Linked DNA regions of Rattus norvegicus. The protein of the gene in region 2 interacts with the protein of the main gene of each other region in a pairwise test. Links are inferred from orthologs where the notes say so. Each region holds a gene or a part of one and is shown on either strand. Other genes may lie near its edges.

Region 1 (7,820 bases), on a different chromosome or scaffold from region 2:
ATATTCCAATCTCTTAGTTGGGTGTAGAAGAACACGCCTGTAACCCCAGTGCCCGTGAGGCAGAGCCAAGAGGTTCTCTCCCAAATTCCGGGCCTGATCTACAGAGCAGATTGCAGGCTCCCCCCTCTGTAGTTTTCTGTATTTACTCAGGTCAGGAGCCAATTTCTTGTGTAATAGGGACAACAATTTCTAAAAACTATACTCGTCAACTGTTGATAAACATTAGTGTTTATAAGACTCATTTTAAGGGTTGGGGATTTAGCTCAGTGGTAGAGCGCTTGCCTAGCAAGTGCAAGGTCCTGGGTTTGGTCCCCAGCTCTGAAAAAGGAAAAACAAAACTCATTTTAACATGGCATTTCTTTTCTCTCCTCTTTTGAGACACGGTCTTACTATGAAACAGCCTAGGATAGCCTTGAATTCCTGATCTCGGACTCAGCCTCTGGGATTACAGATGTGTATGTGCTACCACACCTGGCACTTTACCAGATACTGTGACTTCTGGATATTACTATGTAGTATATCCGGGGAATCTTATAGAAAAAACAAACAAAAACGTAGAAAACTCTAGGTAGCATATGCAGGCCAGGAAAAGTGCAAGATCTCCCGGAACTGGACTTGCAGACAATTGTGGGCCATCATGTGCCTGCTGGAAATGGAACCCAGGTCTCATTAAGACCAGCAAGTGCTGTAATCTGCTGAGGCATCTCTCCAGGCCCTACGAAGACATTCTGTTTTTTTACATTTAAGTGCACGTATATGCGTTTGTGCTATGGAAGACTGGGTTCAGAGGACAACCTGCAGGAGTTCCTTTTCTCCTCCTGCCATGAGGATCCTGAGGTTCTTCCTCAGCTGTCAAAAACCTTTACCCACTGAACCAGCTTGCCAGGGACATCATGTGTAAAGATCACCAAAAGTAGTGTGAACACCATGTTACCCTATGCCCACTGATTTTCAAGGATGCCCTATCTTAACTGGTTCAAATTTATTAGTGGGGCTGGAGAGATGGCTCAGCAGTTAAGGGTATTTGTGGCTCTTGCCCGCACCCCTCCTTTTAGACAGCAGGCATATCTATAATAAAACGTCACAGTACACATGCATAGAAAACACCCACACACAGAAAACAGGAAATCCCTAGTGACCCATTCTGTCATAAAGCTGAAGGCACTTCTGGGGGTAGTGTCCTCTCACACCTCGCTGTGTGCCCACAAGAGCACACTCAAGGCCAAGACCAGCCATGTGGGGTTGGGCCCCCCACAGTGCTAGTTTACCTCTCGTGACGGGTTTGTATATGCTTGGCCCAGGGAGTGACACTATTAGGAAGTGTGGCCTTGTTGGGGTAGGTGTGTCATTGTGGGTGTAGGCTTTTTCTACCTGAAGTATTTTCCTAGCAGACTCCAGATGAAGATATAGAACTCTCAGCTTCTCCTGTACCATGTCTATGTGGAGGCTGCCAGGCTCCCTCCTTAAAGATCCTGGACTGAACCTCTGAACCTGTAAGCCAGCCCCAATAAATGTTGTCTTTCTAGGACTTGCCTTGGTCATGGTGTCTGTTCACAGCAGTAAAACCCTAAGACAACTCTCATTAATGCTGCTTGTAAGCCGGACAACACTTCCAAACCCATTTCCAGTTTTGTCCCCTTTTGTTTAAACAGACAAATTCTTTTTTTTTTTTCTTTTTCTCGGAGCTGGGGACTGAACCCAGGGCCTTGCGCTTGCTAGGCAAGAGCTCTACCACTGAGCCAAATCCCCAGCCCAACAGACAAATCCCTACTGCCCACTTAGGAATATTCCAATCTCTTAGTTGGGTGTAGTAGAACACGCCTGTAACCCCAGTGCCCGTGAGGCAGAGCCAAGAAGTTCTCTCACGAGCCATATGTCCTGTGTACTGTGTTTCTACATCTGCTTCTGGAGGGACCCGAGGTCTTTAATGGCGGGACTTGGGTCATTCTTCAATCCCAGGATGCTTGTAGGGAGTGGCTCGGGCTCAGTTTTTTGCCAAGGAGAGAACTAACATTTCCAAGTTACTTCTTCCCGCTCTGCAGGGAGCACCTCGAGCTGCTTTCAATCCGAGAAGAAACTTCAAGAAAAGCAGTGCTCAGTCTGGCTGGGCCCTCAGAGCCCCTGAAGGAGTGGGAAGAACAAAAGGCAGTTGCTTTGAGAAGACAGACTCCACACAGTTTTATAATCAGAAAGTGAATTTATTTTGAATAAACCACTCAACTTTGTGAGATGACATTACCTCAACTTTTCTTTGAAGAAAGACAAGGATCTGGTCAGTTCATGAAAACACTGTCTTTCTCTACCCTTTGCAGGGCAAAAACACCAAACTAAACCAAACCAAACCCTCGCCTCCTGCCTGACCTCTCAGATGTTCTGATGTTAACGAAGGACAAGCACCGAGGGTGCAGAACAAAGGTCTCCACAGGTGAGGTGCCAGCTACAGGTTGGCAGAGCCTCCTGCAGGGCCAAAGGTCAGGGTCACAGCTGAGCAGTGGGAGGACGGCAGCTGTGCAGTTCAGAAAGTACCCAAGGGGAAGTTAGGCTGCAGAGCTGAAACTCTGGTCCTATGTCATGGCAGTGCCACCAAAAGGACTGGATGGAAAGGTCTGGTTACCAGCATCACACACCACCCTGGGCCTGCAGCAGGTACACTCCTGGCTCACAATCAGCTCCCATTGGTATTCTGGGTTCATTCACCATACCCCAAACTACTACTCCTAATCCACCTCACAATCTCACTTGTCAGGGACGACATGAAGAGACAAGGTGAAAGAGGATGTACAGCTGGTCATGTACCCCAAGAGTCACAGCTGTCACCTGTCAAGAATAACTCAATTTTACAGCTTTACATGGTACCTAGGAAATTGTTGACTGGAGGTGAAAATGTATGAATATCAAAGAATCTGCATCATAGTATTCACAGATTTCTCATAGGCTCTCCTAGGAGTTCAAGGAGGTCCTGTCAAGTATAGACAGCTCTGCCAGTCTCAGAGGGGAGGCACTGAGCAAAGCCATGGAAACCCCAGAGATCACAGATCTAACTTTTCAAAGGCCCACAGGACCAGGTTCAAGATAGGAAGGACACGGCACTCAACTGTGCAGAACTGGTCCTTTCTTCTGGCCAGCCCCTTCTCGTACAGGAACTGAGACCACAAAGCAGGGATTCTCCTGGCCTTAGACTCCCAGACCACAGAGACGGGGACTTCTGGCAGCTGCACTAGGCAAAGGGGACCACACCCCACCACGGAGCAGCTTCTGGCCACACTCTAGGTGAACATAAAAATAACTTGTGCAAACCTCTTGAGTCACAAGGCCCATGCCCTTGGTCTAAGAGCCATGCATGCTGAACTCTGACCTTGTGAACTCTGTTCATAAGAACACAACAAGACAGTGACTCTCGTCAGAGTCCACCACCTGAATACTGGATCAAAAGGAACGACCAAGGAAAAGGAAACACATCGGGGGACGATTCCTTACAAAGGTGGATTCCTTATCTTTATGAAACAAAAGGAAGCACCATGCTGAACCAGTCTCCCAGTTCAGGGGTGCGTTAGCCCGCCCACCTCTGCTGTGGGTGCTGGCCTGGGTGGCCTGACTCAGGTAAACCTCACATTCAAGAATAAAGCCAGCCTGCAGTGAGACCGTGCTCTGCTCTGTGCCCTGGCTGTCCAGAAGGAGTGTGACTCTGTACCCGTGCCTATTGTACAGGCCAACTCAGATCCCTATCTGCCACCCACATTCTCCCCTAGAGCTCCAGCTCCAGGGGAAAGCAGAGGCCACGCCAGGGCTCCGGCAGTGTAGACGCTGAGACTGGGTGGGCGGGCAGTATCAAGTTACATTCTAAGTCATGTAGCTAAAGGGTGAAGCACTCCAAAGCCAATTTATTTTAGACGGGCTCCGTGTTACCTATGGTTTGCCTCTTTTCTTTATAATCGTACAACCTTTGAAAATTACATAAGTTGTAATGATCTAATACTATTAATAGCCATTCAGAAAAAAAGTTCCCTCCCGCCCAACAACCATCCAGGGGAAATTTAAAGTCCTCACTAGAGGCCAGCTCAACATGGCCTCTACCCTGGTAGAAACAAAAAGCAAAAAGATGAGAAGAAAACAAATGGACTAAGAGGTGTGTTGCCAGTGTCTTTCAGGAGTGGGGCCCTGGCTGTTGCCTGGGTCGTGAAAGGCAGAGCCTGCAGCATGCAGTTCGGTAGCCGGGTGGCCTCACAGCTACATCTTCCTCACCCCGGCACATCCACAGCCCGGTTTAGGTGTCGTGAAAATCCTTTAGCAGGGTTCTTCTCCGCTGCTCTGCTATGTGCATCTGGTTTTCCAAGTCCTGTCCAATCGACACAACAGGTTTTATAAGTTCCAATGCCAGGAGCGGAGAGCACGCAAAGCCACAGGCGGTGTATTGGACGCTCCAAGGAGTCTAAAGCTGACCTGCCCACCCTCTAAGGCAGCACCTTTAAATCCCAGCCCAGTACAATCACTGTTAAATGACACCCTTCCCTTACCTGAAGGAAGGCGGCAGGCACTTACCCCTCTGTCATAGCTGTCTGCACGCTCAACTTTCCATGAAAGGTTTTCGATCTCAGCCTCCAGCTGAGCCTGCTGGTATTCAAACTGTATGGGCAGAGCAGGAGGGTCAAAAGGAGAGAGGGCTGTAGCCGGGCAGGGCCTGCAGATGGAGGGTACATGCAGCACCTCAGGCTCCAATTAGCAACTGACAAGCCTGACACTGTCCTCAGCATGCTTGTTACTCTTTATGCCCAGAGCTGGAAAAAACATCCAAAGAGCTTCCAGAAGAGAGAGCAAATGGCAAAGTAACATTTGCCGTCCACCACCAAAGGAAGGTGAGAAGCTTAAAGCCATGGGAAAAGATGGTCCCAAAACACCGGGACAGACATTACAAAGGTTAGGTTAAAATGGATATTGTCAAGACACTGTATTTACCCCACATTCTACTCCCCCCAGTCATGTAGTCATCTGGCCAGCAAAGCCTTACGATGGGGGTGCCAATGCATCTCAGCTGGTGAAATACCTGCCCGAGATGTAAGGAGCCTGGGGCTCAGTTCCCATGAACTGGGCGTGGCACACGCTATGGCGCGGGAATCCCAACGCTAAGGAGTATCAGAAGGTCAAGGTCCCCTCCTGGGTTATCAGCAAGTTTGAGGCCAGTCTGGGCTATTTGAAATCCTACCTCCAAAAATTACCAACCAACCAAGCAAAAAAGACCAAACCAAACAGAACAGGACACCCTTTGATTCTTTTTTTTTTTTTTTTTTTTTTTTTTCGGAGCTGGGGACCGAACCCAGGGCCTTGCGCTTCCTAAGCAATCGCTCTACCACTGAGCTAAATCCCCAACCCCAGGACACCCTTTGAAAGACCAAACAATGTGGCCTGTGTGGTGTGGGCCTGTGATCCCAGCACGAGAGGCAGAGACAGAGAGTTTAAATTCGAGGATCTGGGGGCTGGAGAGATGGCTCAGTGGTTAAGAGCACTGACTGCTCTTCCAGAGGTCCTGAGTTCAATTCCCAGCAACCACATGGTGGCTCACAACCATCTGTAATGGGATCTGATGCCCTCCTTCTGGTGTGTCTGAACAGCTACAGTGTACTTATATATAAATTCGAGGATGCCTGGGCTAAGGTTTTTTTTTTTTTTTTGTACTTAGAAGAAAAAAATCAAATAGTAACCATACACTTGAGGAATAAAATGTTACACAAAAAGACTTTCCTCAGTCTTATTTGTGAGAGGAAAATGGAAACAATTGTCCTGTCAAATGATGACACATTAAGGTAAAACATTGTAGCATTTTTGTAAAGAAGAATTCAATCTGGTAAAAGGTGAGAGGCTTGACAACCATACATTTGTGCCTTGGTTTTTGAGAAGGATTTGCTATAGTCTAGGCTGGACAGACAACTCAATCCTGGATCACTGGAGTTATGAAGTTTGTGCCTCTGTGTTTTTCTGGTGCTGAGACTCACATATGCTCTACACAAAGCTTTACTTCGATAACATTAGTTTTAAAGGCTAGAACATGAACAACATAAATGCTATGTTTCCCAACATTTAAGGAATATATAAAAATTACTTTTATCAGCAGGAGGAACAACCATATCTAAGAACAACTAAAGGAAATAGACAACTATAACATAAGGATGTGTATGATACGGCCACTGGCTATCCAAGTGATCATAGGCTTTTTGAGTCCATTGATCTTTAAATATCAAGGTTTAAGGGATCAGGTGCATCTGGCTATTATAGCATCTGAGGTTTATTTCAGAGATGCCCAGAGCCAGAAATATCTTTTTGCAGTAAGACAGTTTTCATTGTGTTCTCCCAATGATATCAGGTCAGAACCATGTCCATCTGCAAAGTGCCTGTAAGAATGGGGCCCCTCTAAAGTTGCAGGGAACAGCAGAAAGGCAGTGATGGCTTACCAGCTTCTTCCTGGGGCCGGATTCCATGTAGTATGCATATGGATAGGTATATTGCAGGGTGTATCGACACTGGAATAAGAAAGAAAAAAGTCTTATCTTTGATTCTACTTGACCCACACATTGGGTAGCTCTTACAATTCATACCCAACCATGCAAATGATGACTCTAGACATGTGGATCTAAAAGCAACAAGGCCAGACTATGGAGATGGTGGACTACAGGAAGACAGGGAAACAGGAAACAAGACTGGCCACAGAACCACCACCCTTCATACTGACTCATAACCACCAGCTGCTCAGAACTTTTCTGTTTTTTAGTGGTCAGTAAAATCTACATCTCAATACTTATCAATTATAGACTTTCTTTTCAGTTATCCATAAATGGAACAAAGAAGAAAAAAGGCTTTAGTTTTCTCTGTTGGCAGAGACAGTTAAACAAACTGCTCAGAAGTCCTTTGGACATTGTGCTGGCTGGTTTTATGTGTGTCACCTTGACACAAGCTGGAGTTATCACAGAGAAAGGAGTCTCCCTTGAGGAAACGCCTCCATGAGACCCAGCTATATAAGGCATTCTCTCAACTACTCATCAAGGGGGGAGGACCCAGCCCATTGTGGGTGGTGCCATCCCTGGGCTGGTAGTTTTGGGTTCTATAAGAAAGCAAGCTGAGCAAGCCAGGGGAAGCAAGCCAGTAAGTAACATCCCTCCATGGCCTCTGCATCAGCTCCTGCTTCCTGACCTGCTTGAGTTCTGGTCCTGACTTCCTTTGGTGATGAACAGCAATGTAGAAGTGTACACTGAATAAACCCTTTCCTCTCCAACTTGTTACTTGGTCATGATGTTTGTGCAGGAATAGAAACCCTGACTAAGACAGACATCTAGCAAAGGGCTAAGACTTCTGGTATATTCAGCACAGGGAAATGTGGTCCTGTAGACACGCATGCAAAGCTAGTCAGGGCACCAAACTCCCCCTTCCCCCTTCTTTCAGAGATAGCCTCCCACCCTAATGTTTGCAGCCAACAGGGACTAATGGTAGAAAAGTGAGCTGGTGGATACCTTGGCCAACAGCTTGGCGGCATTCTGCAGGTACTGCCAGTCAATCCACGTTCCCAGATTGTTCATAACCCTCTCTTGAATCTTCTCGTGAATCCGCTGGTATGTTTGTGCCTCCAGCTGCAAGCTTTTGTTGTGATTTTCCCACTACAAAGCAGAGGAAGAAGGAAAAGGGTAGAGTTCCAGGAAGGTACAGAGGTCAGCAGATAAGTTTAAAACAAACACTGGCTAGTAGGCCATGTCCTCGGATTGCTCTGTCTTCTTATGGAGCACACGGGTCCTGGACATCACTCAACTAAGGGGGTACCAGGTCCTTCCCCAGCATCC
Region 2 (8,517 bases):
GCATCCTTTTGGGGCCTCTACCTGCACTAGAAGTCACTGGCCTGAATGATGAAGAGGGAGAAGATGACAAAATGTTGCTTGCTATATTGTTGTGGTCTGCTGACCTCCTTCAGCACCAGTCATCTATGTGGTACCCACGCACAAGTTCACACAAAACACTCAAGCACATAAAATGAATCTTAAGAAAATTAAATGTCCACCTTTGCCTTTAAACTATGTATTTGTCTATAGCTTTGACTGGATGGTTGTTAAAATTTTCCACCTTTAATTTTAGGGCATGGCTGGTGGGTGTCGTAAATGAAATAAGTCAGACACTGAAGGACAAATACTACATATTGTAAGTCACATATGGGGTTTCTGTTCTGTTTGTCTGTCTGAGACGGGGTCTCCTCTAACCCAGGCTGGCTGCCAACTCTTCAAGGACCCAATACGGACATTGAACTGATTGTCCTGTCTCCACCCACCAGGTGCCAGGTGTGTGCCACCACAGCTGGCTCTTTCCCTGTGTGGAAGTTTGAGAAAGTTCTCACGGAAGCAGAGAATAGAATAAATATTACTGGGGAGTGAGGAAGAGAAGTAGAGAGGAATTATACAGGAAGCTGGATAATAGATACCAAATGTGCTTAGGTAAAAGAAATAAATTCTAGGGTTCATTTTTTATTATATTTTTACTTGGTGTGTGTAGTGTCTCTCTCTCTCTCTCTCTCTCTCTCTCTCTCTCTCTCTCTCTGTGTGTGTGTGTGTGTGTGTGTGTGTGTGTGTGTGTGTGTGTGTGTGTATGGCATGGTGTTCATGTGGATGTCAGAAAACAACCCAAGGGACTCAGTTCTCTCCTTTTCTCTTCCCACCATGTGGGTCCTGGGGAGCCACAATCTTTACCTGTGGGGCCATCTCTCCAGCCCTGAGTTCGTTTTTTTTCTTTTCCTAATTAAAAAAAATTATTCATTCATTTATTTATTATATATAAGCACACTGTAGCTGTCTTCAGACACACCAGAAGAGGGCATCAGATCTCATTATAGATGGTTGTGAGCCACCATGTGGTTGCTGGGATTTGAACTCTGGACCTCTGGAAGTGTCACCTCTGAGTCATCTCTAGCCCTTCTTTTCCTAATGTTAAAAAAGAGTATTTTATGTATATGATTCTTTGGCCTGCATATTTGTGCACCATACATATGCCTGGTGCCCAGGGAGGTTAGCAGAGGATGTCTGATCTCCTGGAGTTACGGATAGTTTGTGAGCTGCCATGTAGGTACAAGAAACTGGACTCAAGGGGGCTGGGGAAATGGCTCATCGGTTAAGAGCCCTGATTACACTTCCAGAGGTCCTGAGTTCAATTCCCAGCAATCACTTGGTGGCTCACAACCATCTGTAACGGGATCTGCTGCCCTCTTCTGGAGTGTCTGAAGACAGCAACATACATAAAATAAATATTATATATATATATATATATATATAAATATAAACTGGACTGAAGATGCTGTGAGAGTAACAAGTGTTATTAATTGCGGAATCACTTCTCATACTTGGGCAAATTTCAATAGCAGTGCTTCATAAAGAACCAGAAGAGTCTGTAGGTCCCAAACACACAGAAATGTTTGCCATGCAAATACTAATTTGATCATTATATACATACATAGGTTGAATTACCCCACGGTACCCATCCGCATGTACAATTATTATGTTCCAGTTACAATAAACTATTTACTTATTTATTGGTGCCTCTGTGTGTGTACGCTCTTACAAGCTGGCTCCGGACCCTTCCTAGAATGCTTGCATTCACAGTGATGAAGGGCTGCAAAAGTAAGGAGTAGAAACAGCATACTCTCTGTGCTGCACGCTCTCAATCCGTTCCGGCTCCTGACACCCTGTCACTTTGCCAATGCTGTTCCTTCCCTCTTTTTTTTTTTTTTTGTTTTTAAGATTTATTTATTTAATATATATGAGTACACTGTAGCTGCCTTCAGACACACCAGAAGAGGGCATCGGATCCCATTACAGATGGTTGTGAGCCACCATGTGGTTGCTGGGAATTGAACTCAGAATCTCAGGAAGAGCAGTCAGTGCTCTTAACCCCTGAGCCATCTCTCCAGCCCTGTTCCTTCCCTCTTATTCTCAACAACTTCCTCCCACGCCCTTGGAGGCGGAGCTAACTCTTCAGGCGCCCTCCCTTTGATTCAATCATCCCAGGAAGCCTTTGCCCCGCCTCCACGAGGAGATCAAGTGATCCCCCCTCACCCAGACCCAGTGATTCGTTATGTGATTATCATTAAAAATTCAGAGGCTAAATTGCCGGCGTGGTGGTGCTTGCCTTTAATCCTACCACTTGGGAGGCAGAGGCAGGCAGATCTCTGAGTCCTGGGCCAGCCTGGTTCTCCAACAAGTTCCAGGCCAGTCAGGACTACATACTCAAAGAACTACAAGTACAAAAATCCAGAGGCTAAATTCTCTGTTTTTCAACTGCCCGAGAGCTCCTGTGAGGACAGATACCACAGTTTCTCTGTCTGGTGTGTTCCATAGACAGTGCCTGGCACTTGGTGTTAACTAAGACTACTACTAACCAGAAATGGGTTCAATGCCCTGCTCCCCTATCTATATTTAGGGGTTGCTGATGGCGTCCTGTTTATTATTGCTGGCATTAGAAGGTATCTGATTAAAGTTATTGAATTGAAAAAACAGAATCGTTTTTCAAACACATCCCGTATCTAAGCAGATCAGATATTTGGTTCCTGGATAGAAAAAAAAAAATCCTGTGGCATACTGGGTCAAAATCTTAGGCTTCAAAATATGCTAATTTCTGGGCTGGAATGGGTGAGGCAGGTAGGTGGATTCCTCTCTAGCTTCAGAATTTCTCCCAGATGCTGTGTTCTGCTAATTCCACCATGGTCTCGACTTGGGCTAGAGACTCCTTGGCTGTTTGTGAAGACACACAGTAGGTACATAGATTGTAATCGGCTGGTGATAGAATATATAGGCTCCTGAAATCTATCTCGAGGCTTCAGCTACCCATCATTTTCCCAAATCGCCACAGAGCAGACACCTTCTATGTGTTCTTCCGAGTAAAAGAGTTAAGGTCGACAGAACGCCCCTAACTAGAAGAGATTGGATCCACCAGCGTCCTCTAGTGGTGCTCGGCACCAAGCAACCTAAAAGCAACATCCAGCAACGCTGCGTCTCTGCCTATCTGCTGGACTGTACCACTCAGGATCCCACACAGTTAAGGGAGCGGTCCTTGGAGGGCATAAAGTCTACACTGATCCCCAATCTCTTTTAGGATGGGGTACTAGACCCACAAAGGCAAAGTGATTTGGCCCAGGACTCTGAGAATTTCTCTAGAGGTGGGGGTTAGGTCCACAATCTCACTGAGAGAGCCTGCAGCAGAGTTACTTTGCAGCGGCGTCGGGGGAGCTGACAGAGGCTAGGGATGAACCCCATCCCAGCTCCTGCCTGATGTACTCTACGAGATGCAGGAACCACAGACGTAGTCTCTGATCTGCAAAGAGCTTGAGTTTCTTGGATTTAAGACCGCCAAGCTGGGCACTCCGCAGCCTCCACGTATCCCTCGAAGAAGTGGGAAGCAGGTCTTTACAGCTGGAGCCCGTGTAGGTGGAGCAGAGCGTGGGCGGGGCTCAGGATCGTCCGGCAAGAATCTGCTGCTGCCCCACGCTCCAACCTGAGATGACGGCCAGCAAGCGAGTGGCTAAAGTAAGCCTGTACAAGATGATTCTTTCCTTGTGCTTACCCCCCCCACCCCACTTTCTCCTCCTGCTCTCTGAACACTTTTATTTGGTTACCAGGGCTAGCTGAAACCCAGGCATCCTCACCTTCTCCCATTGAAGGAGTGGGAGAAGGGAGGGGTGGGGGGAGGGGTGAGGGAGGAGGGGGGAGGGAGAAGAGAAGGGGGGAGGGAGGGAGGGAGAGGGACTGATTGAGACAGACTGGAAACAAAGTTGTCATCAGCTTCCGGAGTTGTAATTGGCGCGAGAATGAACTAGATTTCTAAACTGGTTTCAGTTTCAATTCTGCTGAAAATTTATTAGTGGAGCTTATCTCAGGCACCGGAAGGGCTCTGTTGCGCCGTCTAGTGGATACACTCATAATTTGATACCCACCTTACCCAAGGCCTCAGAAGCCAGAGATGCTGTTGGGCTGTGGTGAATGGGCAGATCCTGGAATAAAAGTGTACAGAATAGTCCCTGGAATGAGAAGTAACAATTTATGCCCTGAGTAGGTTATTAGTATGCAGTCCTGCTACAGATGCTAAACGCCTACTTTGTGCCAGGCAGCAGGGGCAAAAAAGGAACAAAAATCTTGTTCCATTTGAATGTTCATTTCTATGTGGGACACTATTTGGTACTATGTAAAAGAATGGAAAGAGGGTAGTCTAGAGGTCTGACTGGAACCAGGATTGGAGATCACGGAGAAGAAACACTGGTGAACTGGTGCTGGTACCTCCAGGCTTTGAGTCTCCCCAAAACACCCCTCTAGTCTGCAGAATTGAGAGCAAGGCCTCCTCAGGAGACAGGAGGGATGATTGCTGTCCTCATCTTCCAAAAAGAAAATTCTTTTAAGGTGGAGAAGTCCAGAGCAGACCCAAACCAGAACTAAACTTTGTTGGTTTTAGGCTGGTACAAAATGGGACAGAGGTTAATTGCTACCTCAACGCTAAGAGGTAGACTGACTTTTGTTGCTCCGGAATCTTCAGCACCAAGCAGTTTGCTTTATCTAACTCTTACAACAACTGTGGGATAGCTGTGTCTTCCCATTTCACGGAGGAGGAAACTGAGACGTCGGGGAAAGTAACATGGCTGACCAGTGATATTCTGCAGAGGTAATGGGGCTGGAATTTGAGCTCAGGCTGATAAGACTGCAAACTCACAGAGCCTTTAATGGCCCGTCTGTTTTCACTTTCGATTCTCCTAAGTCAGGTGACTTACTAACAGGCTTTGGGAGGAGCTGTGTGTCCTAGCTTGGGTTTCAGCAGTCATAGGAAATTCAGCCAGAAGTCATCAAAACGCATTAAAAATCTAAGTACTCCCAGTGGTAAGAGAGAAAATTTCCCTTCTATATTTTTAAATTTGTGTTGTTCAGGTTGGCCTTAAACTTGATATGTAGCTGACAATTTAAATTATTTAATTTAATTTTTTTGTGTATGGATGCCTGTGTGTATACCTGTTAGCTACCTGCAGGCCTAGCAGAAGTCACTGGAGCTAGAGACGGTAGTCAGTCACCATGTGAGTGCCAGGAATGGAACCCAGCTTGTCTGATCCTCTGGAAGACCAACAAGTGCACCTAACTGCTGGGCCACCTCACCAGCTCAACCTTTAATTTCTTAATTCTGTCTCCATCACATCCCCTAAGACCTGGGATCATAGATGTGCACCACTTTATCAAGTTTCATGCAATGCTGGGGATTGAACCCAGGGCCTTGTGCATGCTAGACAAACGCTCTCCCAACTGAGCTGCATCTTCATCCCAGAAAATGTCCATTCAAGATCTGGGTTATACCGAGGCCTTTGCTCTTGCCCAAGCTAAGGCACAAGTTATGCTTGTGGTAAGCTAGAATAGGCAAATGAATGGTCCTGGCTGCAAGTAGAAGGCTTAGAGATAAAAGGGAGTGTGGGGAGTTTTTATGCTTGGGAGACGGGTACAGATGCTGTGCAGCTGTGAAGGATGCCACCCCCAAGCCCCTGGCTTAGGGGAACTTTCTCCCTGCCTGTGTGTACACAAGCCTTCCTCGACTTTATCTCTGTTGACATTTGGGGCCAGATCATTCTTTGTAGGATGTTTCATCAGTACCTCTGGACTTTACATGCTGAATTGTGGCAGCACTCACCCCATTTGTGACAGTAGGAAATGCTTCTAGATATTAGCAAAGGCACCCTGGTGGGTAAATACACCCCTGGATGAGAACCACTAGTTTGTATCTATTCATGTTTCCCAGAGCTGCCTTGAATGTGTGAATGCTTTTCTTTTCTTTTTTTTTTTTAAAGATTTTATTTATTTATTATATATGAGTACACTGTAGCCGTCTGCAGACACACCAGAGAAGGGCATCAGATCTCATTACAGATGGTTGTGAGCCACCATGTGGTTGCTGGGATTTGAACTCAGGACCTCTGGAAGAGCAGTCAGTGCTCTTAACCACTGAGCCGTCTCGGAGCTGGGGACCGAACCCAGGGCCTTGCGCTTCCTAGGTAAGCGCTCTACCACTGAGCTAAATCCCCAGCCCGTGAATGCTTTTCGAACCACCTCCCCCTTCTCAAAATGTGAAGACCTGGAGTCCTTGGGTGTGGTCCTTTGGTCAAATGCATGCACCATGGTATCCTGGGGACTTTGGATGTGCTGGGGGTGTGGTTCAGTGGCAAGGTACCACCTAGCAGGCTCAAGGTCCTTAGTCCCATCCTCACTACTGCAAAACCTTTGGGTTGTTCTGCAGTGAAGAAGCTTTATAACTCATCTTTCCCAAATGTACTTAGCCATAAAGGCCTTTTCCTGTAGTAACTATTAGTATTCCAAGGGGGACCTGCACATGCTTGTCCTGTCTGGGCCCTCTGCCTTGTCTCTATGTTTTTTCGCTTGGTGATCTCCTACCTACTCTTCAAGGCCTATCTCACGGCCGCAGCCTCTGTGAAGTGTCCCCGCTCCCCTCCTTCCTGGTTGTGTGCCCATTCACACCATTCATGGCCTCAAATTTGTTTCCGCTGTTACTCCAAAGATGTTCTTGGGGGCTGCATCCTGTCTTAGTCAAGGGTCAGCAGAGGATGTTCAATAAACTGCTCTTGGGAGAAATCAGGGATGCCCAGGTGATTAAGCCACATTTCTGAGAAGGCGAGTCGCTCATTGTCCCCTGTCTACCGTGTGTGATGTGCAGCGTTTCTCGCCTGGGCAGCCTGGATCAGTCCTTTACCCTTAAGGTGGTATGATGTGGTGGCGGGGAATGGATGCGTGATGGCCTTGCCATTCATTCTGCCAGTGCATATTGTACTGGAAACTCAGATATTACTGAAGAGAGAGGGATAAAATAGGACTCTGTGAGAAAAAGGGCAAGAGGACAGAGTACCTTGCCCTCAGAAAGAAGGCTCCTAGGAGTTCTTACTATTTGAGAGAATATTTGAGATCACCTAATCCTTACACTGGAGCCTACAGCGTTGTGGTGAGGCTGAAGCCAGGTAATTCATTAACCACTCAGCATTGGGTCTCACACCAGCTCAGTGTTCCCTAAGTTGGGGCTCTGACCTTTCTCTTTCTGCTCTTAGGATATCCTGTTTGGGCTTTCTGTGGGGCTGCTGCTGTGGGGCTGAATTTGTGAGCACTTGGCTTACTACCCTTGATGTGATCCCTACAGGAGCTGGACGATCTTTCGAAGGAGCTTCCGCCATACCTGCGCCACCTGTCTAGCGATGATGCCAATGTGCTGGTGTGGCACATGCTCCTGCTGCCAGTGAGTGTCTGTGGGGACCCTTTGGAGACTTAGGTCAGCATGGGCAGGGAGGGTCAGGCCTAGGATCTCTTCCTGGAGGTTGTGGTGTGTGGAAAGATCTGTCTCTAGACCAATTGCTTCTAAGTCCAGTCAGACCAATGAACACAACAGAGACTTTAGATGTAAGAGGACACCCTCCTTCAGACCTGTAGCTACTGAGTGTCCCATAGAAGAGTCAGCAGACGAAGAGTCAAAACCAGAGGAGGCCAGGTGGTGAACATGAGGGCCTGAGTTCAACCCTCAGCACCCATGGCAGAAGTCGTAGGAGCCGGTCATCCCAGAGCTAAGAAGCTAGAGACACGTCTGTGGAGATCACTGGCTGGGCAACCTAGCTCACTTGGTGATTTTCAGGTCAGTGAGAGGCCCTGTGTCCCAAAACAAGGTAGTGTAAAACACACACACACACACACACACACACACACACACACACACACACACACATACACACACACACACACACATTTTGAGATAGGATCTCTCTAGGTAGCTCTGCCTGGTCTGGAGCTTACTATGTAGACCAGGCTGCTTTAAACTGTAGAGTACTGACTCCCAAGTCCTGAATTAAAATCATCTGCCACCATGTTTCATTAATATAGTTTTTGACAAAATGAGACTACCTTGGGTGTTTGTTTGTTTTTTGATGCAGGATCATAATTTGCCTAGATAAACAATACCTAAATAAAGAGGTTGTTTGTTTGTGGTCTGGTGTCTGTGTAGCCCTGGCTGTCCTGGTACTTGCTCTGTGTATCAGGCTGGCCTGCTTCTGCCTTTGGAGAAGGCTAGGATTAAAGGCGTGCACTGCACTGCCTGGCTAGAGGAAAGGTAAAACAGCCATGCATCCCTTTCTTAATTAAAGCTCTTGGAAGAGAAGCTGGTGGTCTGATTTTTTTTTTTTTTTTTTTTTTTTTTTTTTTTTTTTTTTTTTTAGCTGAGGACCGAATCCAGGGCCTTGCGCTCGATAGGCAAGCGCTCTACCACTGAGCTAAATCCCCAGCCCCTGGTCTGATTGTTTAGAGTCTGTGCCTACCATGCGG
Region 3 (7,820 bases), on a different chromosome or scaffold from region 2:
ATCCCAGCGTTTGAGAGGCAGAAGCAGACAGATCTCTAAGTTTGGGTCCAGCCAGGTCTACAGATGGAGTATCAGGACCGCCAGAGCCACCCAGAGAAACCCTGCCTTGAAAAACCGAAAGGTAATAATAATAGTAATATTAATAATAATATAATAATACATAATAAATGTGATAAATGCTGTGCTTATGACTGAGGGGGCTTGAGACCCCATATGAACAACAATGCCAACCAACCAGAGCTTCCAGGGACTAAGCCACTACCTAAAGACTATACATGGACTGACCCTGGACTCTGACTTCATAGGTAGCAATGAATATCCTAGTAAGATCACCAGTGGAAGGGGAAGCCCTGGGTCCTAAGACTGAACCCCCAGTGAACTAGATTGTTGGGGGGAGGGCGGCAATGGGGGGAGGGTGGGGAGGGGAACACCCATATAGAAGGGGAAGGGAAGGAGTTAGGGGGATGTTGGCATGGAAACCGGAAAAGGGAATAACAATTGAAATGTAAATAAGAAATACTCAATTTAATAAAGATGGAAAAAAAAGTTGTGCTTATAATCTCCTAACACTTCAGAAACGAAATATTGAGCTTCTAAATTGTTCCTTCTAAAAAGCATACTTTTTTTTTTAAAAAAAGAAAAAGCCAAAAGATGTTTAGTAACAAAGGATGTTTTGCATATTGCTATGCAAATAGGTTTTGTGGGAAAAAGACAAAAACTAGGTGAAAAGAAAGAGTAAGAATAAGGAAAGAAGAAAAACATTCCACAAGATGAAAAGAAATGGAGATGAGAATTGAATGTATTTTGCAAGTGTCCATCATAAACTAAAGGCTCACACATTAAGTGAAGTAGTAAATGCCATCGATGAGTGACATGAATAGTGTTGTATGAGTTCACGATGCACACCACATTTAATAGAGCCATCAAGGCTAACATAAGCCACTGCTCTTGTAATTCATCTTCTTCAGTGCAGGATGAGGAGCCGCGCCCACACTTGGAGGGCTCTGTTGATAGTGTAGTATACAGGCCGCTCAGAAATGCCGGTTAAGATCTGCTGGAGAGGGCTGGAGAGGTGGCTCAGTGGTTAAGAGCACTGACTGCTTTTCCAGAGGTCCTGAGTTCAATTCCCAGCAACCACAGGGTGGCTCACAACCATCTGTAATGGGATCTGACGCCCTCTTCTGGTGCGTCTGAAGACAGTGACAGTGTACTCACATATTTAAAAAAAAAAAAATCTGCTGGAGACAATGTCTCGCAGTGGCCAGTAGGTGGCAGCCTACGGCCAGCCCAGGCTGCCCAAACTTCTGTTCCAAGTTCAACTTCAAAAACTCTACCACGTGATGGAAATAGCCACACACATTTTGGTGTACACCTTTAACCCCCGCACTTGAAAGGCAGAGGCAAGCAATCTATACCAACTTGACCTACATAGTGAGTTCCAGGCCACATAGGCCTACTCTGGTGCACACATAATCCTCAGTACCTAGGATGCTGCAGCAGGGGGATCACAAGTTCCAGGCTAGACTAGGCTAAGACCCTGGGTTTTCTTTTTTAAGTGTACTCTTTGTTCAAGAAAAATGAGCTTTCCTTAGAAGGATCACCAATCTGGGGACTGTACATGGAGAGACTGACAGATTTACAATGTATACATACATACATTATGTAAGGTACTGTTGCAGAGATGATAGACAATGAAGTGCTTGCCTGTTCTAATGCTGCGGATAATTCCACAGAGGAACAGAGACGTGAGGGCAGGTAGCTAAGAAGTTCCTCTGAGAGGAACTCAGGATACTAAGGCCAGGCTGCAAGGAGGCTGCAAGGAGAGGAGAGCTGCTGCCCTGGACAGTGAAATATGACAAGCTTCAACTCGTTGCAGGAACAGGCAGCCTTCCAGGACAGAAGGGTAGCCTAGAAAGCAAGACACTGTCACAGCGTTCCTCAAACATTAATTACAATCCTGTGACAGATCAGATATGAGAAGAGAGTCTGACGGGGGACTTCATCCAGGGTCTGAGAGAACGCCGTTTTGGATAGACAACTACGGTAAGGTTGTCCATGTGTGGCCCCCTTCACACACAATAAATAATTAAAAGTAAATAAATAACTTGTGCCAAATCAGAAACAGGAAGAGAGAGAATTAGTGTTGGATATCAGGATGCTTGTCCCCAAAGATTATGTACAGATTCTGGTCAGGTGCCCATGATAGATTATTCCTACATGTATAAATATTTGTAAACGCACAAAGGCCTTAGTAGATAAGAGTTGGGTACAAAGTTACAGAAGATGCTCTATGCTCCTTGTGTGTCTTTGCCTCAAAGGCCATGGCGGTGGCTGACATAGGGAGAGAGGGAGGGGGTCCATTCAGCTCACTGGGAAAGACTGAAAGGAGCCTAACAGGAGAAAAGGACCCGGGCAAGAGGAGGTCCAGGTAACCAAATCTAATCAGTCACTTGGTGTGGCTGGGGGGAGGAGAGGGCTGAGAGCCATAATCTTCTTCCTGCTACCTCAGTCAGAAATAACTCCTTAAGGGCCAGGGGAAGGGGGACAATATCCAGTTGGTTTCCAGGCTCTGAGGCAAGGGGAGAGAGTAGGCACACTCTTTGACTGCTGGGGACTGACTTTTTGTTTGGGGTATTTGTTGTTCTGTGACAGTGTATTGTTACATAGCCCTGGCTGGTCTGGAACTTGCCATGTATCCTGGGCTAGCCTTGAACATGCAACAGATCCTCCAGCATGCTGAGATTAAAGGCAAGAGCTACTTACCACACACAGGTTTTTTTTTTTTAAAGATTTATTTATTCATTTATTATATATGAGTACACTGTAGCTGTCTTCAGATACACCAGAAGAGGGCATCGGATCTCTTTACAGAGATGGTTGTGAGCCACCATGTGGTTGCTGGGAATTGAACTCAGGACCTCTGGAAGAGCAGTCGGGTGCTCTTAACCACTGAGCCATCTCTCCAGCCCCCACACACAGGTTTTTGTACGTTTTCCTTTTTTAAAAAAATTCCACATTAAAAATGCTATTTTCCCAGCTCTGGATGGTGATAGGAAAATAAATGAATGAAGTAAGAGTTTGAAGTCTCAAAAAGGATGTTTAAAAAGCTGGTGGAGCTACAGAATAGGTTCATATCTAGCACAGAGAACTTAATGACTCTGTCTCAAAATCAAAAGAAAAATGAGGGCTGGGGCTCTGGTTCGGTGGTATAGCACCTAGCATGTAGGAAGCCCTGGGTTCAACCTCCAGTGCTGTATACACACAAATACTAAAGGCGCCGTCGTGGTGGGGCCTGCATGCAACCCCGACACTTCCAAGTCTGGATCTGGAGATAGCAAGTTTAAGTCCTCCCTGGGCTACAGAATGAGACCCTGTCCCCAAAGCTGGGGAGCTGGAGAGCTGGAGAAGGTGTAATTTCACTGGAAACCTTTGCTTGTAATCGTGGTTGTGTTACTCACCAGAGTTCCACACTCAGTACAGTTCTGGTATTCTGACTTCATCCTCTTGGCTATGTCAGTTGCGGGCACTCCCTCTGAAGGAAGGTACGCGCGGCAGTATGGGCATGTCCACTTATTATTGTTCTTTATACTGGTTGCAATGCAAGAGCGGCAGAACCTACTCAAAAGAAACAGAATACATCAGAGATACGGCTCAGCACCTGAGTTCATGCTGTTCTTCTAGAGGACAAGAATACCTCTATTCATACGGGCACATACACACATACATACATACACACATACACATAATTTAAAAATTAAAAAAAAATCATGGTAGTCCACCATTTTAATTCTAACACTCAAAAGCAAAGGCAGGTAGATCTGTGAGTTCAAAGCCAGCCTGGTTTATAACAGGTTCCAGCATAGCCAGGGCTGCACCACACAAGTCTTCTCAGAAAAGAAGGCCGAGGTATCTGGGCTTGGTTACAGCCCATCCAACCACTCCCAGGTAAAAAGACAGACTCTAAGTTCTACCTGTGGCCCTGTGTGGAGACCCAAAACGTTAATCAATCCAGTTGGGCCTGTCAATCACCTCAGACAGTCTGATTTCCTCAAGCCAGATAAAAAGATGGGTGGGATAATTGTCCCATCACTGTGGTGATAGACTTTTAATGTAGCTTCCCTCTCAGAAACCCCACCTGGGAGTAGCTGCTTAGGAAGTCGGCATTTCTCTGAATTACCCAGAAAAAATGTAATGTCTTCTCTTTCAAGCTCTCACTGATGTTCTGGGCCCTCTCTGTCTCTGCTTCTGCTGCGTGGCTGCTTGCCGAACATAGACCCTAACTCAAAAGGCGTGACTTTCTCCCCATGTCTAAATTCTTTTATGAGTGAGACTAAGAACCTGAAGGGGTTGTGTGTGTAGAGAGATGGCTCAGTGGTTAATAGCACTGGCCGTTCTTGCAGAAGACCCAGTTTCAATTCCCAGCACCTACATGGTAGTTCATAGCCACCACTAACTCCATTTCCTAGGATCTGATGTTTTAGGATCTCCACAGGGACTGGGCAAGCAGGTGGCAAACAGAGCTCATACAATAAAAATAAGTATATCTATCTAGTTGGGCAGTGGTGGCCTTTAATCCGAGCACTCAGGAGGGAGAGGCAGGTAGATGTCTGTGAGCTCGAGACCAGCCTGGTCTACAAAGTGAGTTCCAGGACAGCCAGGGCTACAAAGAGAAACCCTGGAGAGAGAGAGAGAGAGAGAGAGAGAGAGAGAGAGAGAGAGAGAGAGAGAGAGAGAGAGAAAGAATGAGAATGAATCTGAAAAGGGAGACTCAGTTTTCCCACTAACATCTTTACCCCCTGGGATCTACTGGGGATTACAGTAGTAAGCCTGGCTGAAGGTGTATTCTTGTTTTCTTTGTTTGCTTTTTAGAAAGGGTCTCATTGTGTACTCTTGGTTTGCCTGAAACATATAACATCGATGAGGACGGCTTCAAACTCACAGATATCTACCTGATTCTGCCTCCTAAGTGCTAGAATTAAACGGATGGGCCACCAAGTTGTGGTAGTTGGAATGTGCTTGGTCCATGGGAAGTGGCACTATTAGGAGGTGTGGCCTTATCAAAGGAAGTGCATTACTGTGGGGTGGGTTTTGAAGCTTCACTCATGCAGGAGGGTCAGTCTTCTCCTGTTGCCTTTGGAACAAGATGTAGAACTCTCAGCTCCTCCAGCCCCATGCCTGCCTGGATGCTGCCATGTTCCCACCGGGATGATAATGGACTGAACCTCAGAACCAGTAAGCCAGCCCCAATTAAATGTTATTCTTTTTAAGAGTTGCCTTGGTCATGGTGTTTCTTTACAGAAATAGAAACCCTAAGACACACGTAAAACCTTGAAAGTATATCCTTTTTAAGAGTATTTTTACGAATGGTTCAAACATTCAACTAAAAGAAAAAAAAAATAACATTCCAAATACAATTATCAATGGCTACAACCTGAATTCTCTGCTTACACGACTTATGTCCTGGTAGATGACAGCTCACTCTATGGGAAGCTGGATATGAGACTGCAGAAGTACGAAGTCTAGTAAGACCTGAGGTTTTATGCTGGGCATGGTGGCACGACTCTAATCTTTACTTGGGAGGTGAAGGCAGGGAAATCAAGGTCACTCTGAGGTAAATAGCTAGATTCAGTCTAGTTTAGCCTCAAAAAGCAAACAAATAAATAAACAAAAGCCAATGGGGCATAGGAAGCAGAGGAGTGAGATAAAAACAGGGGGAGATTCTTTGTCAAATTAGAGGGGGAAAATTAAATCAGCACGGCAATATACCACTCTAATCCTAGTACTTGGGATTTCAGCCAACCTGGGCTACATATGAAAGTTTTAGGATAGCCTGAGCTACAATACAACCCCTTTCCTAACAGGAAAAAACAGTGGTAAGCATACAAGGGAACCTGGAGAAGAACTGGGAACACTCCTAATAGTAACAAAAACTACAACAGCTAGGAACTGCACTTAGCTGACATTCAGAAACGCCAGGAATCTCAGGGCATAATCTCAGCTGTGCTGAGAGAGAACGTAGACAGAGGACCAGCCTTAACTCAAGATCACACGAGTTCAGGGCCAGCCTGGGTACTGATCCAGAGCACCATGAAAAAAGACATTATTTTCAGTTGAACATGTGAACCACTTGCAATATGTGCTCTTCGAGAATATATACACTCTCAGCCCTTGAGACCTCTCTCAAATCATAAACCAGGCCCAAGGCTAAGAGTCCTAGCTAGGCATTCAGAATTAAGCAGGAGGTTTAACATTCCGAAGGTCACTGGAGGCCCTGCAGAGCCATCTCATATACTTTCAAGTTTATAATACATCTATTCAAGAGGGGTGGTGCCTTAAGCTGGGGGTGAGAGCACAAACCTGTAACCCTGACCCTTAGGAAGAGGATCAGAAGTCCGAAATGAGCCTCAACAAGTTCAAGACCAGCTAGAGGCGTATGAGATCCTGTCTCTAAAGTAGGTTAGGAGCATACTTCAGTTGTCCTGCCACACAAGCAGCCTTGGGTCTCATCCCCACCTCTGTGTAAACTAGACAAGGTGGCACATACCAGTCTCATATAATCTCAGAAGTCCAGAGACTGAAGGAGAAGGAGTTCAGGGTCATGTTAGTGAGTTACTGGCTGCCTGATCCCAAAGTTGATTCCAGAAAGCAGGTGGGGCTGATGGGGCTAGCCATCGGACAGACATTGACTACAAAGGACAGGAGGTGATTTGCCAGTGTACCGGAACTAACGATCTCGATCCGGACTGTGGTGTTGTTACAGTGTGAACAATGGCGGCAATTGATCAACCCACTCTGTACTACGTGAGTCAGAGTGTATCACCTCACTAACCCTGAGAAGCAAAACAAAAATAATTCTGTGATGGCAGGGAAATCCCAGTAACACTGTGACGAAGATCATGGGGCCACTTAGAACACAAGGTCCCTCCTCCACAACTCAAGCACAATAGGAGCTGCTCAGAACATGGTCAGAAAGTTGACAAAACAGCCAGTTTAGGAGAAATTGCCCAATAGAGACTTTTCTGGGAATTGCTGGAGTTCCCATGAGTAAATCACACTGTGGTGTCCTGGCTGTGGTGTCTTGAGGCTCGGCTGGTTTGTACGGAGTATTTGTATGCACTAAGTGTTTGAATGCTCATGGACAGTAATACACACAAAGCCTGGGTGCTGAGGTACATGCCTATAATCCCAGCATTTGAAAGGTGAAGGCTGGAGGGGCCATAGTTCAAGATCAACCCCAATGGTGTAAAAGGTTGACCAGCCTAAACTCTATTAGATCCTTTCTCAAAAGGTGTGATGTCTTTCTGCCACAAAGACAGAAAGTGGAGGGGAATTGGGGAATGGACACTAGGGAAAGGAGTTATTCAATTGTCTACCCTGACCCCACCCGGGGGGCTGTGAAGAGGGGAATCACAAAAAGAGGGATCAACACAAGAGAATATAGTTAAGACTAAAAGCTGATCATGGATGTAATGGGATACCATCTTGAAGAAGATCTCACTCCACCCCAGAGTGGTGGCATACTCCTTTAATCCCAGTACTCAGAGGCAGAGGCTGGGGGATCTCTGTGAACTGAGGACCAGGCTGGTCTGCCGGCCAGTCAAGACTACAGAGTGAGATCCTGTGTCAAATAGCAACAGTCTGGCTTCTTGTTTTCAAACCTCTGAATGCAGTCAGGGAAATACCAAGTGGTAAGAAGCCACCATGGGTTGTCCTCTGACCCCCACAGGAACGCTACAGCACACACACCCTTCCACATACACTGCACATAAAACAAATAAATGTAATTTTTAAATTAAAAAAAAAAAACCGCCACTACCATC
Region 4 (7,820 bases), on a different chromosome or scaffold from region 2:
CAAAGAGGATGGTCAGCAAGCAGGACATACGGACTCCAAGGGTCTGAGACAGAAAGCCCTACTCCTGGCAAGGTTCACCTGCAGCATGATAATAAGCATGAAGCCTGTGTTCATTCACACATCCAGCATGTTAAGTCCCCATGTCTCCCTCTTTCCAGAACTTCATTCAGTAGCTGTGCAGATAAAGTGTGTGTGATATCTGGTCCAGGATCAGGCTCCCTCCCCAAACACGTGCACGAAGAGGGGTGAATTTGAAAGTTGGTAGATGTGGAAGGGGAAGGGTGGCTAGCAGAGAGGATCATTAGAGTCCTTGGCTGTAGGTGCTCCCTGGGGATTTCTCTCAGCACATACCTGAGGGCTGTGAGGTTTCAGGGAGCACCCCAAGCCTGCCCAGCAGCACTTCTCCATGTCCCCCCGTTCTATCTCCATGTGCGTCTACATGTTCAGTGACCAAGAACTTTCTTCAGGCAGCAAACACTGACACCCACGTTGCACAGAAGCTACTGTTCAGGAGCACCACAAGGGGCTTTACAGTATTGCAATGGAGTCCAGTCAATGTGGAATACAGTTCTCAGTTCTGGAGTGCCACATACAGCATCTCAGGACCTTGCTGTCCTAACAACAAGATCCTTTTATGCTTTTGGTGAACACTTCTTAATCAATAAGGAGTGGTTGCCTTGGATTAAGAGTCAGCCAACTATTGCTGTTAGGCCAGCCCATCTCCAACCCCCAGCTGCTATAATTAAGGTTTCCCCCAGAACCTTCATTTGTGGGTTGGTTCGTCGGCTCTTAACCCAGCAGCAAACCAAGTAGATGTCACAGAAAACCAAACATCACATGGTCTAGAACGATGTAAATTAATCCCCACCTTGCGCTTCATAGAAGTTGGCCTGCCTCCACACCAGTAGGTAAAACCATTACTGATCTTATACCTGACAAGCTTGCTCCTCCAGCACTGATCAGATTGTCCCCTATAGTTGGAGCAACAGGAAACCCACAGAAAAGCTCACACATGTGTATGAGGTCAGGACTGTGCAGCATTGGACCTTGTAAGGGAGGGTTTATTTGGCTCACAGTTGGAAGTTACATACTCTGTAAGTTATACAAGTAGAAGGCATGGTGGCAGGAAGGTAAGGTAGCTGGTCACACTGCATCCTCAGCTGGGAAGCAGAAAGTGCTGGGTAACTGTTCCTAGCTTGATTGCTCCTTTTTATCCAGTCCAGGACCACAGTCTGTGAAATTGTATTGCCAGAGGCTTGTATCCTAGGTGATCAAGTCTCCTGTGGAGTTGACAGTCAGTGCTAATCATCATGGCCTTCTGCACTCCCAGTCAGCTGGGTGTCCCATTAGGTGAAGTGCCTGTCTTTGGATCTGGTGAGCTACAACCACATCCGGCTACCTGGCTTAGGGCCAGGAGGTTTGCAGGCAAGCATGTTTTCTCAGTAAAAGTCAGTGCTCCCCAGATTGCTTCTGAGGAGAGCCTGACTGCAAAGCTGAGGGCAGGCAACTTGTGCAGGAGATGATCCTGTGATTTGCTGGCCTGCCATGGCCCCTGCTGTTAGCCTCCTGTTTGTGCCTCCTACTGCACCTGGTGAAAGTTCAAAGTCCACTAGAGATGAGGGAAATGGAGATGCCCTGCTGGCTCACTATGGAGGGCAGCTCAGGACGAATTATAAATGCAGGTTTTGGATCAGGATGTGAAGAAAGAGGAATGCCACCATATCCTGTTTTTAAACTAAGTTTCCTGACCAATCCCATCAAGTCAGGCTTTGCAGTAACTTGGGCATAATCTGCAGAGAAGACAAGCTTCTAGTTTTACCCAGTAGTTAGGGGTTCAGGCTTGGCAAGAGAATCTGACTTGGGCACGTGAACCGCCCTATTAGAAGACTGAGAACAAAATTAGACACCTAGGTCTGAAATCAGACATCTAGAACTGGAAATGCCATAGCAAAAACCATGGTTTTGTATGCTTCGTGAAAATGTAGTAAGGCAACAGAACTAGTACAATATTGCCTGCTTGGCTTGCGCCCTTCCTCCCTTCCTCCCTTCCTCCCTTCCTCCCTTCCTCCCTTCCTCCCTTCCTCCCTTCCTCCCTTCCTCCCTTCCTCCCTTCCTCCCTTCCTCCCTTCCTTCCTTCCTTCCTTCCTTCCTTCCTTCCTCTTTCTTTCCTTCTTTTTACCGTTCAATAAATACTTGCAAATGACTGCGTATGACCCTGGCACTGGGTTAAGTTTCAAGAAAAAAGTTCTCACCTGACTTCAGGAAATATGTCCTGCTCGCGGTGGGGGAACCAGTGGGCAGGTTGCAGACAAAGATCTGGTAATGTTGACACTTAGAGGAACTGGGCTTGGCGAATACTTCTCCAGAATATAATGGAACTGGAGGCCAAGATGGCAACTGAGGTAGCCCTGGGCACACCACGTACAAGGGTAAAAAGCTGGAAGGGGTTTGTGTGGAATTGGATGGGCACAGGAGCTGTAAAGGAACAGTTTGTCTGGGGAGTGTCTGACTGGGTCACCTAGATGTCCTTCATTCTCACTGCCTTAGGCAGGGCCCCAGAGGGTCTCCATGCTCACCCTCTCCAGTACCCATGGTATCCTGATTCTAATTTATGCCTTCTGTCTCATTGTGCTAGAGGTGCTCTTTGACCCTTGTCGGACGTGGTGCCCAGCATCCACCTGCCAGGCCGTGTGCCAACTCCAGGACATAGGGCTGCAGACCCCGCAGCTGGTGCAGTGCAAAGCCTGCGACATGGAATTCTGTTCTGCTTGCAAAGCCCGCTGGCACCCTGGCCAAGGCTGCCCAGAGACCATGCCCATCAGCTTCCTTCCCGGGGAGACCAGGTACTGTGTAGGAGCTGTGGTACAAAGAGTAGGCTGGGGGCTGAGGGCTGGGGGCTGGGAGCAGGGGCTAGCAGAAGGGTTAGGCTTCCTTCCTGAAGGTCTCACCTGAGAGCAGGTGGCTGTAAATGCTTTGGACTCAGAACACACTCCACCTCCCGTCTCTTTCAGACCTGTGGTTTACTTGTGAGAACATTTGGCAGGTATAACACAAGACCCTGGGAATATAAAGATGTATAACATAAAAAGCACCCTCTGCTCCCTGCATGAAGCACATTGGACTACTCACCCAGATTAATTCCTCTGGTACCTGCAAGTTTTCCATAGCTGCCCTCTGTTGGAGTTTATCTGAAATGGGAGTGTAGGAGTAAGGACAGTAGGCATAGTAAGTGCTGGTGATAAGCAAGGTCACCAGTAGGACCACAAGTACCTGAAGCCAAGGGCCCCACATCTTTCTTTTTTTCTTTTTTAAAATTTACATTTCAAATGTTATTCCCTTTCCTGGTTTCCTGTCCATAAGCCCCCATCCCATCCCCCTCTCCTTCTTCTATAAAGGTATCCCCCTTCCCTAACCAACCCCATTCCTGCCTCCCCACCCTGATATTCCCCTGCACTGGGGCGTCCAGCCTTGGCAGGACCAAGGGCTTCTCCTTCCACTGGTGCCCAACAAGGCCATCCTCTGCTACATATGCAGCTGGAGTCATGGGTCTGTCCATGTATAGTCTTTGGGTAGTGGTTTAATCCCTGGGAGCTCTGGTTGGTTGGTATTGTTGTTCTTATGGGGTCACAAGCCCCTTTAGCTCCTTCAACCCTTTTTCTAATTCCTCCAACGGGGATCCCATTCTCAGTTCAGTGGTTTCTGAAAGTCTGAGTCTATTAGAATACAGCAAAGGACTACTGTGTTTCTTCCCTTTTGCTTCTCCTAGTCAGATAGCCCAGTTGTTTGCCCAGATGGACTTTATAGATGAATTTAAAAGAGTGAACCATAGGAAACTGGTTATATCAGAGGTATTTCCCCACAATAAAATGTATACCATCATGTAGTTCAGTGAGGCAAAGAGGCTATGGTCCTGCTGACCACACTCTCATGGCTGCACTTCCTACCCAAACGGGGCCCTCCCCACCTGGTCCCCAATTTCTTCTGTTTTCCAGTCCTCAGGAAGGTACCTCAGATCCTCTGTGGCTCTTCCAGCACAGCCCTGCCCTCTCTCCCTTTGTCCGTAGGTCTACATGTCTGCTCTGTTCCTTACCAGAGCTGCCTTGACACCCTTTGCCCAGGATCCCTAACCATTCTGTCATCTCTATCTCCAGGGTAGTATTGGTGGCTACATCCTCTGTTTTCCTACTGTGGAAACTTGGATGCATTCACCGCCATCCAGGACTTACCATGTCGTAGGTCACATGTTCCCATGACTGACAATTCTACTGTCAGGCAGGGACTATGCAAGCTTGACGCTTGACCTGGCATACGTCAGGCATTGGATACCAGCAAAGGCCACTGAATTTAGACGTAGGGTTATAGAAACTTCCAGACTCTAGGAGGAAACATACTTGCTTGGCTTGATTAAAAGTGATCGATAGAGGTTGATTTCTAGGAAAGGGAGAGCTAGAAGCAGATGAAGCATCTACCCAGGGAAGCAGTCCAGTTTTTTATTTTTCTCTCAGAGTAATCCTTAGTAAGTGAGTGAGTGAGTCCTGTCTCTTAGCAGGAAGGACAGGAGTGGAGGGCCCTTCCTAGTTGAATGGAAGAGGTTCCCAGCCCAGTCATTTTTCTTATCATAAAACTTTCTCAGGCCTGGGGATGAGCCCAGTCAGTAGACTGCCTGCCTATCATGAAAGAAACCCCATGTTCAATCCCCACCACGCGATTGAAACCAGACATGGTGGCTCATGCTTAGAATCCTAGCATTTAGAAGGACGTTGACACTGAACAGTTTCCTGGATTACTCTCCATTTTATATATTGAAGAGAGGGTCTGTCAGTTGAACCCAGAGATCATCAATCAGACACACTAACTATCTGGTCTACCCTAGGGAGACCCTGGCTTTACCTGCCTCTAGCACTAAGAGTAGAGAGAGATACTGCACCAACCAAGCTTTTATTTGGGTTCTGGGGATCCAAACTCCAGTCCCTGTGCTTGCATAGCCCCCACTTTTCCCACTGAAGCATCTCCCCAGCGTTTCCCAGACTCTCTAAACCTGTCACATTCCATTGGTGGGTAAAACAGAACCCCCTCAGGAACAGAAGCCTTGCTACACTTAGGAAACCAGTGCACATGGTCATGAGGAAATTCTCATTGCTGATCACCAGGCATTTAAGTCTCATCTATTCTGTGGCCCTCTCAAACGATCCCTTTGCCAAGATGCCTTCCAATAGAGGTGCTCTCTGACTTTAGCAACTGTGCACTCGGACGAGTTGTACTCTGATCGGCTCCAAGTGGAGCCGTCTCTTTGCAGGTCTATATGGATGCCATGGGTTCTAACATAGGTACAGTATGCGCCTTGGTGGCATCTTCTCTTGGCCTTTCCCATTTATTCTCCCAGATGTTGTCCCGACTATCTATTTCAAGGGAAAACTAAAGGAATGTTATGGGGCGACCTTCTTCAGCCATGCCTAGATACCCGTTTTACTTTTGAAAAGTTAATTAACAGTACTGACTTATTGTCACTGTTTTCAAAAGTCGGCTACTGTCTTAGTCACTGTTCCCATTGCTGCGAAGAGACACCATGGCAGAGGCAACTCTGATAAATAAAAGCATCCAACTGGGGCCTGGTTTACCATTTCAGAGGCTTAGTCCATGAACACTGTGGTGGAAAATAGACAGGTTTGGCGCTGGAGCAGTAGCTGAGAGTTTTACATCCTGATCTGCAGGCAGCAGAAAGAGAAGAGAGAGAGAAAGACACCGGGCATGGTGTGAGCTTTTGAAACCTCAAAGCCCACCTCCAGTGGCACAGTTCCTGCAACAGGGCCACACCCACTCCCAACAGGCCACAGGCCCTTACCCTTCTAAGTCTTCTTAAGCACTCCCTGGTGACTAGACATTCAAATATGTGAGCCTATCGTGGCCATTGTCATTCAGAGCCCCACGGCTGCTTTGTACTTTGCACAAGCAGAATACTTTCATAGTTTTCATGCGTTTGTAGAGGCATCCTATAGCTGGTTTGTGGAGAAACCAGCATCCGCCACCAGACTTAAAGCTAATAACCATTGCACATCCATCCCAAGATGCCAGGGAAGCTGTCGGGCAAGCCAGGTAGGTCTTCTGAAGCAAGTGTGTATCTTCATGTACATGTGTGTTTATGACACTTTTTTTTTTCTGACAAGACCAAAGTGGATAAAATTTATTATTCACTCTTTGGAAAATGTACACATTTGTGAAGCCTTTGTTTTCTGGTGTTTGGTTTTTATAGAAATCTAAATTTAGGTATGTGCCGGTGGTGCTTTTTCTTTTGTTTCGTTTTGCCTTAATCTAGCAGATAGACTATGTTTTTGTTTTCCAGGGCTTTTGTTTCTTTGGCTCTACATCACTTCCTTTAGTAGCAAGAGACCTGGGTCCCTGTCGTAGAGAAGTGCTCCTGGAACAGCCCTGCTGCTGAGCTCGTCCTCATTCCCTTCTGCGTGACCCTCACAGTATATCTCTCCCACAGCTCTGCTTTCAAGGTGGAAGAGGGCGACGCACCCATCAAACGCTGCCCCAAGTGCAGGGTGTACATCGAGCGGGACGAGGGCTGTGCACAGATGATGTGTAAGAACTGCAAGCATGCCTTCTGCTGGTACTGCCTGGAGTCTCTGGACGTGAGTACCGTGCAGCCTCACAGGGCAGCCATGAGCTGTGGATTCAGATATGTGGGAGAGGGACTGTCATTGCCTGGGAAGCTGGAGGCCTCGCTAGGGGCATGATTCTCCTGTGTTTGTGTGAATCTTGGTTCCCTGAGGTGACATCTGGGTACCGAAGTTTGGGGCAGGCTTGGGGCTTAGCTTTATTTTGAAGAGTCTTGGAGTCTCTGCAAACATCAGAGTAAAGATTCAAGTAAGGCAAGACAGATGTCTGGTTCAGCATGACTCCATAGCTGGTGCTAGTTTAAACTTCCAGAGTCTGACCCCAGGAAGTTCATTTCAGGCATATTTAAGTACAGCACAATTTGGAAGACCATTTCCTGGTGTAACACAATCCTGAGTACACAAGGAGACACAATTCCATTGAAACTCTTCTGAAAACACACGTCACTTCTTCTGCGAAGATGGCTTTGAGAGATAGGGTATATGAATTATCTTAAGGGCCTAAGAGGATCTGATGAGGTCTCCATGACACAGACAGCACAGAGGTCATCTGGGCTATTAGCCACCTCTGGTCCCAGTAGTAAGAGCTTGAGAGATCCCCTGCCCATTGACCACCTCTACCTCCCAGGCTTCTGGGTGGAGCTTGGGGGATCCCCTGCCCATTGACCACCTCCACCTCCCAGCCCTCTGGGTGGAAAGCAGATTATATGCATCCTTGTCTTTGCAAAGACGACCCTGCAGGTTAACATTCAAACATTCATGGTTTTCTCCTAGTGCTTACCTGTGAGCTCAGACCTTTGTACTCCCAACAGAAGAAGAGGTGCTGATTATCTTAGGGTCCTAATGAGCCTGGCTGTTGTGATAGGGTACCATTGGGGAGCATGGGGATCATGAACAACAGACATCCAATTCTCACAGTTCAGATCCTGGAGAGCTGGACTACGGCTGCTGGCAGATGGGGTCCTGATGGAGGCTTCTCCCTGGACATGCCAGGAAGAGAAAGCTCTGATCTTTCCAAAGACATTAGTCCTGTCAGGGACTCCATCCTCAGGAACTCATCTAAACCTAATCGCCCCCAAAGGCCCACCTCCTGACACCACAGAGGCTGCAACTTGGAACTTGGATGCCAGAAAGCACATTTAGTTAACGGAACAGTGGGGAAAACGAAAGTACACACAGTAAAACATGTGCATTGGGAAA

What was found. The genes of interacting proteins can lie anywhere in the genome.
Region 1: the proteins of Ube2l6 (region 2) and Arih2 interact in binary tests that used the Homo sapiens proteins (3 or more experiments, as listed by UniProt). The link is inferred for Rattus norvegicus from reciprocal best matches to the Homo sapiens genes UBE2L6 and ARIH2.
Region 3: the proteins of Ube2l6 (region 2) and Rnf125 interact in a two-hybrid assay, tested with the Homo sapiens proteins (3 studies listed by BioGRID and IntAct). The link is inferred for Rattus norvegicus from reciprocal best matches to the Homo sapiens genes UBE2L6 and RNF125.
Region 4: the proteins of Ube2l6 (region 2) and Rnf144a interact in a two-hybrid assay, tested with the Homo sapiens proteins (2 studies listed by BioGRID and IntAct). The link is inferred for Rattus norvegicus from reciprocal best matches to the Homo sapiens genes UBE2L6 and RNF144A.

The regions. Positions count from the first base shown.
Region 1 is NC_086026.1:118,173,090-118,180,909, forward strand, and holds the end of Arih2 (E3 ubiquitin-protein ligase ARIH2), read right to left. Parts: intron 7,641-7,820; coding exon 7,497-7,640; intron 6,513-7,496; coding exon 6,444-6,512; intron 4,679-6,443; coding exon of another isoform or gene 4,646-4,678; exon of another isoform or gene 4,624-4,645; coding exon 4,540-4,623; intron 4,337-4,539; coding exon 4,265-4,336; 3' UTR 2,178-4,264; downstream 1-2,177.
Region 2 is NC_086021.1:90,276,493-90,285,009, forward strand, and holds the start of Ube2l6 (ubiquitin/ISG15-conjugating enzyme E2 L6), read left to right. Parts: upstream 1-3,212; 5' UTR 3,213-3,678; coding exon 3,679-3,705; intron 3,706-4,963; exon of another isoform or gene 4,964-5,043; intron 5,044-7,348; coding exon 7,349-7,444; intron 7,445-8,517. UniProt on the Homo sapiens protein: Catalyzes the covalent attachment of ubiquitin or ISG15 to other proteins. Functions in the E6/E6-AP-induced ubiquitination of p53/TP53. Promotes ubiquitination and subsequent proteasomal degradation of FLT3.
Region 3 is NC_086036.1:12,536,870-12,544,689, reverse strand, and holds part of Rnf125 (E3 ubiquitin-protein ligase RNF125), read right to left. Parts: intron 3,616-7,820; coding exon 3,459-3,615; intron 1-3,458. UniProt on the Homo sapiens protein: E3 ubiquitin-protein ligase that mediates ubiquitination and subsequent proteasomal degradation of target proteins, such as RIGI, MAVS/IPS1, IFIH1/MDA5, JAK1 and p53/TP53.
Region 4 is NC_086024.1:48,644,983-48,652,802, reverse strand, and holds part of Rnf144a (E3 ubiquitin-protein ligase RNF144A), read left to right. Parts: intron 1-2,635; coding exon 2,636-2,843; intron 2,844-6,487; coding exon 6,488-6,635; intron 6,636-7,820. UniProt on the Homo sapiens protein: E3 ubiquitin-protein ligase which accepts ubiquitin from E2 ubiquitin-conjugating enzymes UBE2L3 and UBE2L6 in the form of a thioester and then directly transfers the ubiquitin to targeted substrates.